Arabidopsis thaliana: one gene and its partner. The protein of the gene in region 1 interacts with the protein of each later gene in a pairwise test. Each region holds a gene or a part of one and is shown on either strand. Other genes may lie near its edges.

Region 1 (3,726 bases):
TAGAACAACACAAAGCAAGAGATAGAAATAGCAAAACTTATATTCTTTCAAAACAATGAGTGGGAGCGTAGTTTTCCAATGGGGAGAGGGAGACAACAACCAACTGACGCTGCTGATGAACCAAGACAATTTCAAACACAGGCATGTTTAATATTCATTGGACGTTTTTTTGTCTTAATTTGTGCATCGACATTGTTGATAAGTACTTAGTTGGCGTTTTTTTCCAAATCTTTCTATGAGTTGTTAATAGGCTCGTAAGTGGGGCGTCTTGGGATGTTTTATATGACGACGTATTGAGTAGTCGGTGCCAAAGGAACGAGGAGTCGTGGTTTGCTATTTCTATCAGAATGGTGCATGGAACACGCACGACTTCGCTTTCAACATCCAATAGAGTTACAAAGAAACATTGGGCAGCGTCCGAATATAACTATCTATAATAAATAATCTCATATATTGATGCTGTAAATAGATCTCTCTAATTTATTTACCTTGTTAAGATTCAGGGAAACCTATTTCCTGGGTCACTCTAGTGTAAGAACATTATTGCATCAGATATATCTTCTATCTAAATAAATAAGAGTTGGTTTTCTGAATGTTGAAATTCTACAACAAAGAATAACTTCTTCAATGCTCTTATATGCAACTTTCTCTTCTTTGGCTTTCGCACAAACTTTTGAAATATAAGACGTGATTGTGCGTGCGGCTGATTTCAAACCCTTATCATTCTCTCTATTTGAATGTACTAACAAGCATTCTACCGAACAGTTGATATGCAAAAAGGTCTGGTCTTTATACCTGTCAAATCCGCACCATACTCAGCCACATCTAAAACATGTAATTGATTCTCTTGATGAACAAAGAACACATCATGACAGGATTGAACATATAGCCCAGTTAATATTATAAAGTAATAATAACGTTTTTAAACTATAATCTTGTAGTAGAACTCTATAACTATGTTACATAAATAGTCAAATTTGATTTAAGTTTTCCCTTTTTAGATATGAATCATTTTCATTTCGATAGTTTTATAAATGTTAAAATACAATACTCCAAGTCATTAATAATAAATTTGAATTTAGGTATATCATTTGTATAAGTAAATTCATCTATTGTCTTTGTATTTTATTGTCTAATTTATTTTCGAAAAAAATCTAAATATTTAAATTTCGAGTTTAAGACTACAACACTTATAACATTTAAACACACAAATTTTATTTAGACAAAATTATCTCAACTCATCCCTTTCAAATTTTTTAACAATTAAAACAATTTTCTTTATAAGTTAATATCACTATAAATTAATAAAAGATTATGGTCTTAAAGTTATTAATCTATAGAGTTTTTTTTTTACTGTATTGGGAGTGTTGTCCAATTATGAGTTTAATCCAACTTTTATAAAATTAAATTTACAATTCTAAGAAATTAATCAAAATATTTATAATTGGATAAAGTATTTGTTGACATTTAGTATTTTATTATTATAATAATAAAGCTAATTAATATTGGATATAGACATATAGTGTATATTTCTGCATTCAGATATAATACTATGAATACATAATCTTATGAATATTCATGATTTCATAAATTACATCTAATATATTTTTATTTCCAAATCCATAGAAATGTCATAAAGTTACTTTATAATAAAATTGAGTAATTTTACATTTCTTATAATGGTGAAATTTGTGTTGCATTTTCCTTTCATTGATTGTTACTTTTCCTTCTTCTTATTTTTGGGGGCAATTTGTTGGTTATAAAAATTCTCTCTAAGAACCTCATCAGCGAATCATTGAAATAAAAGAAGACAAAAGTATCAAACTTAACTACATAAGTTCTCACTTTGATTTATCTCTGATTATGAACAGCTTACCTTTGCATCTCCTCGACCAAATTCTTTTCAGATTGGAACCCAAATCTCTGGCGATGATGAAATCCACAAATAGAACTATCAATTCGCATATATCTGACCCGCTTTTTGAATCCGAATACTTTTCCCGGTTAGAATCCAGTTTGTATAACCTTTCCCCCGGTGGCGCCAGATACGTCATGTGCCAGCCTTTAGTCTCTTCATGCAAATCTATGTCAATGGGGGAAAAAGCAATTCAAGGTAATTTCCGATGTTACATGTTGGGGTCATGCTCTGGCCTTCTCCTACTGTACATCGGTGGCCTCTTCGTCGCAAATCCCCTCACAAAGAGGTTTCGATATTTGGATCCTTCTGGCTCAAAGTTTATACCTACGCTAAGTGGTGATCGCTGGATTTATTTGGCACATCCGGAGAGAGCGATGTGCGTTGGTTTTGCGGTTGATCGAAAGAGATTCAAGATCGTCTGCATACTTGAGATGGAGACGAGGTATGAATTCGAAATCAACGACGGCGATTCATGGAGATTATCAAAAACGACTATCAATGCTGACTCAAAAAGTGATCTCACCAAGTGGATGAAACCTGTTTACTTGGAAGGCACTCTTCATTGGTTGAGAAACGACGGGAGCATCATAGCTTTCAATCCCGAGACAGAGCAAGCACGCTTGATTCCTTCCGGTTTTCATCAGGAAGTACCGGATATGAAACTGTTACTTGCGGCAGATGATAAGATCAATCGCTTGACCTTAATATCAGGGACAAAACAAACAATCTCAGTTTACACATTACTCGGGAATCTCAAATGGGGTCTCGCTAGGCGGATCAAGAACGTATCTCTGAAAGAAAATGAGTTGAATGCTGGAACATGGTTGTGTACGATGGCAAGCGTCTTCTGGTGAGGGAGAAGAAAAAGAATCGTTTAAATGGTGTAGTTCATGTGTACGACATGGAAACTAACAGTTGGGGAGTTTTAGGGTCGATCATATATACGGCCGGTGCAGTCTGGGACTTCTATAAGTTTACGCCGTCCTGATGTCCTGTTGAGGAGGGTGAGCAAAATTATAAAGCGATAGTAGATTGTAATGAACATCGCGTCTTCTATCTAATTTCTATTATGAGACTCGTTAATACAACCAAGTAACAGTGAGTTACGTTTTTCATTGTTTCACCTTAATTCATTTATTCCTCGAATGGCTTAGGTTATAGTCTTTTTGTGGACCGTGTTAGTTACTTTGTCCAAAAGCACTGAGAGTACTTCGTATTTTTGTGATGACATGTTTTCCGATATCTTCTCTTTGTTCTAATGTTCTTAACATTAATTGGTGTGTTCGGTTACTTGTTTGGCAAGGAACAAACTTTGTAAGTCCGAATGCTTTGAAAAAATAATACAAAAAATGTTTTTTTTGCTATACGAGTATGAATTTAACCCCCACTATATCTGATTTCACGATTTGAAAAATTCTCTTAACATATATATTCAATCACACAACTCAAAAACCTCCCGTTTCATTTCAGTTTCTCTCCGACTTGTAAAAATTGTTCCACATACATATGACTCCTCCGATCCATCACTCAGTGAGCAAAAAATAAAGCTAGACCAAAAGTGGAACAATTTATAAACGTTGAAACGCTACGTCTTCCATTTGACTTTACTATAGCACATTGTGCTACTAGAAACCAGTTTTGGCGAGATAGCTGAAGCTTGTATAAAATGCAACACAAGCTTGTATTACGCAAAACTTACATTCTTTCAAAAACAAATATGGGGATCGTCGCATTCCAATGGGGAGAGGGAGAAAACACACTGACGCTGCTGCAAAACAGAGACAATTGGGATTCATGGCAAGTTTCAT
Region 2 (4,511 bases), on another chromosome or scaffold:
AATTTTTTTTTTGGGCCCGAAGCACAAAGCTTGTCTTTACATAGAATAAGATATGGCTGCAGATCTGTCTTTAAGATTTGGCAGCAGATCTGTTTTTTGGTTGAATGTATATTTACTATAATATTCTTTGTTTTAAATTCTTTGATATTTTTTAATATATAAAACGACAAAGACAAACACCTTTAAAGAAAATGCACCGATTTGAAAAATACCAAAGGAATAACATCTTGGTAAATGTTATTATTAAAAGGCATTAACATCAAAGATGTAAAAACATAATGCCATGCAAATACATAGTTTTCAATTTTTCTTGATATATAGTCTTATATTAGTCCTTTTTTATTCCCTTAAAAATCATATAGTGTTATCAAAAAAGTTCTAAACGTTAATATACAGATAATCATGTAACGGTTATAAATAAATAAAAACTCAATTAACCGTACGTAAATAAATGAGGCTTCTGGTTCAATGTACTATATGATGATGATTTGCAAAAAAGCGTGTGAGTCTCTTCCACCTCAAATTCAGGACATAAATCTGATTATTGTTATTATTTTTTGGTTCAATTTTGGATTTGAGATTATCCATAAACTTTTTGGTGTATAAACATAGCATTGCTTACAGTAGTTACAACTAGATTATATACTAGAATAAAATATTAGTAATATTTTGGAAAAAAGAAAAAAAAATGCATGAATGTGAGGATTATTAAAATGTGCATAGAAAGAGGACTTTCCATTTAAAGCGAAGCTTTTAGATCGATACTTGCAGCAAAGCTAACCGTTCTCTTCCCCTTTTTAGGTTTCTAGATGATTACTATTGCTTCGTTTCTTTTGTCTCTTATCTTCTTCCTTCTGCTTAAACAATTTATTTTACTATATACAAATGTACCACCTCCTAGGTTCTAAACGATAGACTACACGTGTGAATCAAACCCTCTTACCATTTGGAAATGTTTTTTGCTTAACCGGTTGTCCAGAGCAGTTATTTAGGTGGAACCAATTTTCTATGTGTTGCTTCTTTTTACAGCTGATTTGTTATGAAAAAACATTTCACTTTTAAAACATGTAAAATAAAACATTACAAACGATACATATTTCATTTTTGTTGCTTTAATTTTCACCTTTTTAATGGATTAGGTTAGACAATAAGCAGATATGCTTATGGTAATGCCATGGACCATAGTTTGGACCAAAAAGGCCTACATTATATTATGGGCCTTTATGAAGTCCATTAGTTTCGTTCATAAAAAGACAATTTAATCTGAAGTCCCACATTTTTAAAAATGTTTAATTTTAATCTTTCAGCAAGAAAAAGAAAAGGGCAAATGGTTTTGCTATGCAAGTGAAAAAAATATTGAAAAGAAAGAAATTTTTGAAAGAAAAGTAATACTTAGTAAGAGTTAGAAAAGTAAGAGATTAATGATTAATCAAAGGCGTTAATTGCTGTCAAAAGTAGCAAATTACTGCGTAAAGAGTTGTCTAATTAAGACTAGGAGTTCAGCAATATTGCAGTACTCTTAACCAAAGATTTAATATTGAGTAATCTATTCGTTAGTTGAGGATGAAAGTTGAATTTTGATAGGTACTAGTGAAAACACCTTTATTCGATGATACCAATAATTGGGTTTTAAGATAACAATAGTTGATATTATAATGGATTTCACTCAAATGAAAACACATTTCTTTCTCTAAATAGTAAATACCTTCTTTTCTTTTTTGTTAAAGATTCACTAATATTTTTTTAGTTTTATATATCCTAATGAAAATAGATAATGTGTAACTCTAATAATAGCCATATCACATCATAGCCATTAGTGATTATTCCAATGTTAGAATAAAAACAACAACAAAAATCAGTGAGGGGATTAACCAGAAATACTAATTTTTAAAAGGAGTAATAATGGGTTAATAATTGGCCACTCTCATTACAGAACAGAACTCATAGCCGTCGTCGTCGTCTCTGTCGTTCTTATTTCAAAAAAAAAAAAAAAAAAAAGAGACAAAGAAAAAGTAAAGAGAAGTGCGCTCTCTCTTACTCTCATCGATTTTACAAAATATCAGCCATCTCCAAATTACAGAGTTCTTTCTCAAACCCAGGTTATCATTTTCCAAAGTTTGAAGGTTTGTTGTCTTTGATTTTTAAAATCTTCCTTTTCTGTATAATCTGTAGTCTGCTTTCACCGACACTTGGTTATCTTCCTCGAATTCTTCCTGGGTTTGTTTATTTTGGTTTCTCCATCAATGAATCTTTTGCTGTCTAAATTTCTTCTGTGATTATAAGAGCTCAAAACAGCTGTTACGAGTCTGAATCTAGTGTTTTGTCTTAAATATTGCGTTAGTTTAATTTATATGCATCCTCAAATACTGTTGTTTCCATTTTGTCTCAGGTGTGTTCCTGTCCCTGCAGAGATGGCTTGGTACTTATGAATGTGTTTATACTAATCACTAAACTCGGGGATTTTGGCTGTATAATCAAGAATTTCATTTATTAAGTAAGATTACAATCATTAACTTAGCCTTCCACAGTGTTTACAAGTTACAAAAAGACGACTTTGGTTTCAACTGAAATCATTCTTCAAGTCTCTTCCTTTTGGCAGCATTGTTTGGCCTTGAAGGCGGTGAGGATAAACCAGAGCTCAAAACGGGTGCACTCTGTTGTATTGTGGCCTCAAGGCCACTGGTTACAACAAAATCTTCACCCCACAGCGGAAGGGATATTCCTCAATCAAGTCAAGCTGAAGCCTTGCAATGGCGGACAAATTTCAGCTTCTCACCTGCTGCTGGCTATACTAGAGATGGTTTGGAACAGGATATGAGTGATGAGAGTCCCGCTTTTGCATTGCACTCGGGCAGCAGTAGACAAAGAAAAAGTTTGGAATTCAGATTTCAGCAGTCGCCAAGATGGGCTCCATACTCATCTGCTTCTGATGGGAACGAACAGAAAACCTCCTTGGTTAATAATAGTCTAACAAGACCAAATAGCTCAAATCCTCAATGCTTAAACGAGGTAATTTTGGTCTTCTTTACATATCAAGTCATTAATCTTCAAGATGGGCTTTTCTTGGTTTCATCTTTGGCTGAACCTTGTCGCTCTTTGATGTAATTACGGCTCAGGAGAACGGTTTTGATAGAGACAGTACCGCCATCTCAACGAGTTTCAGATCGTTGCTGTCTCTTTCAGAGTCATCTGTCCCATGGGAGACTCCGACCAACAATCAGTCTTCCAGCCTTACTCACTGCTCTTACCCTCGAGTCTTCTGCAACCCGGTTTCAGTTTGTGAGAATCCTGAACCTGATCATACGCAAGAAGACTCGTCCACAAATCCTGGTTCCAGTATCATGATGTCCACAAGAAACCACCAAGGCTCACCAGTAGAGGAAGAAGTATCACCAAACTCGAGCAGCAATGACATGTTGCTAGATGTTGAAAGATCCAATGACACAGAAGTCGCAAACCCGAGATCTGAACAAGGTTCAATGACACATCAAAGATGCGGGATTTGCAAGAAGCTTTTATCTCAGAAATCTCCATGGAGCTCATACAAGATATTGAGATCCAGAGACATGCCAGCCACTGGTGTTTTCCCCTGCCATCACGTCTACCATGTTGAGTGTTTAGACAAAGCAACCCCAACAGCTCAAACCAGAGACCCGTCTTGTCCTGTTTGCTCAAACACCATTGGAGTAATGGAACAGCCACTGATAGCACCTGAAACATTGCAAATGGCTCTAAGATCTCTCAGAAGAAGCCGCACAGCTCTAGAATTAGAGACAGTAAGAGTCCCTTCCAATGACAATCAAAGAAGACACAATACCAGAAGAAGCCATAAATGGGACAAACTCAGCTGCTGTTTGAATATAAGCTTCTCATCTTCTTCCTAGAAATCCAACATGACCCGATTAAATTAGGTTCTTTGAACTTTTACTTGGATCTAATCGATAGTTATAACACAAAAGAAAGAATCTTTTCAAACTTATAGTTTCTCGAGTGTCTGGGAAACTATAGACAGAAGCAGTACGCATTTTAGTTAACTTGTAATCCAAAATCTATATTTCAGGCTACAAAGAAACTCTAGTTAACTAGGAACAACAAGCCTTACACACGAATTAAGTTTTCTTCTAGTTGATAAGAACAAAACAAAACAAAAACAGAAAACCAAAACCATAATCCACAAATTCGAATCGAACAAAAACAAAAAGCTAGAAGAAGAAACCTTAAATAATCAAAATCTAAAATTTTCAAAAACACATAAATATTTGGTTGGGTGGGTGTTAAAGCTCGCAATAGCCATCACAGCGCCGAGTAAAATCGTGCGCTCAGGCAGCAAGCAGTCTTCATCGCTGAAAACAATGGGAAATTAACGATAAAAGGAATCGAAACCTTTCCGTCACCGGAGCCGCCAGCCAAGGATATTGGGGTTGCTCATTGGCCCGAAAAGGCCGAAACCCTAACGATAAATCACTTTTTCTCAGCTCAGATAAGATCAAGTAGTTTTGAAGATTTGATTG

What was found.
Region 2: the proteins of AT1G20360 (region 1) and AT5G18260 interact in a protein complementation assay, tested with the Arabidopsis thaliana proteins (one large-scale study listed by BioGRID).

What each region holds. Positions count from the first base shown.
Region 1 is NC_003070.9:7,045,813-7,049,538, reverse strand, and holds AT1G20360 (F-box family protein), read left to right. Parts: upstream 1-1,794; 5' UTR 1,795-1,863; coding exon 1,864-2,772; 3' UTR 2,773-3,035; downstream 3,036-3,726.
Region 2 is NC_003076.8:6,035,599-6,040,109, reverse strand, and holds AT5G18260 (RING/U-box superfamily protein), read left to right. Parts: upstream 1-2,003; 5' UTR 2,004-2,123; intron 2,124-2,389; 5' UTR 2,390-2,494; exon of another isoform or gene 2,495-2,599; 5' UTR 2,600-2,814; coding exon 2,815-3,009; exon of another isoform or gene 3,010-3,116; coding exon 3,117-3,884; 3' UTR 3,885-3,908; downstream 3,909-4,511.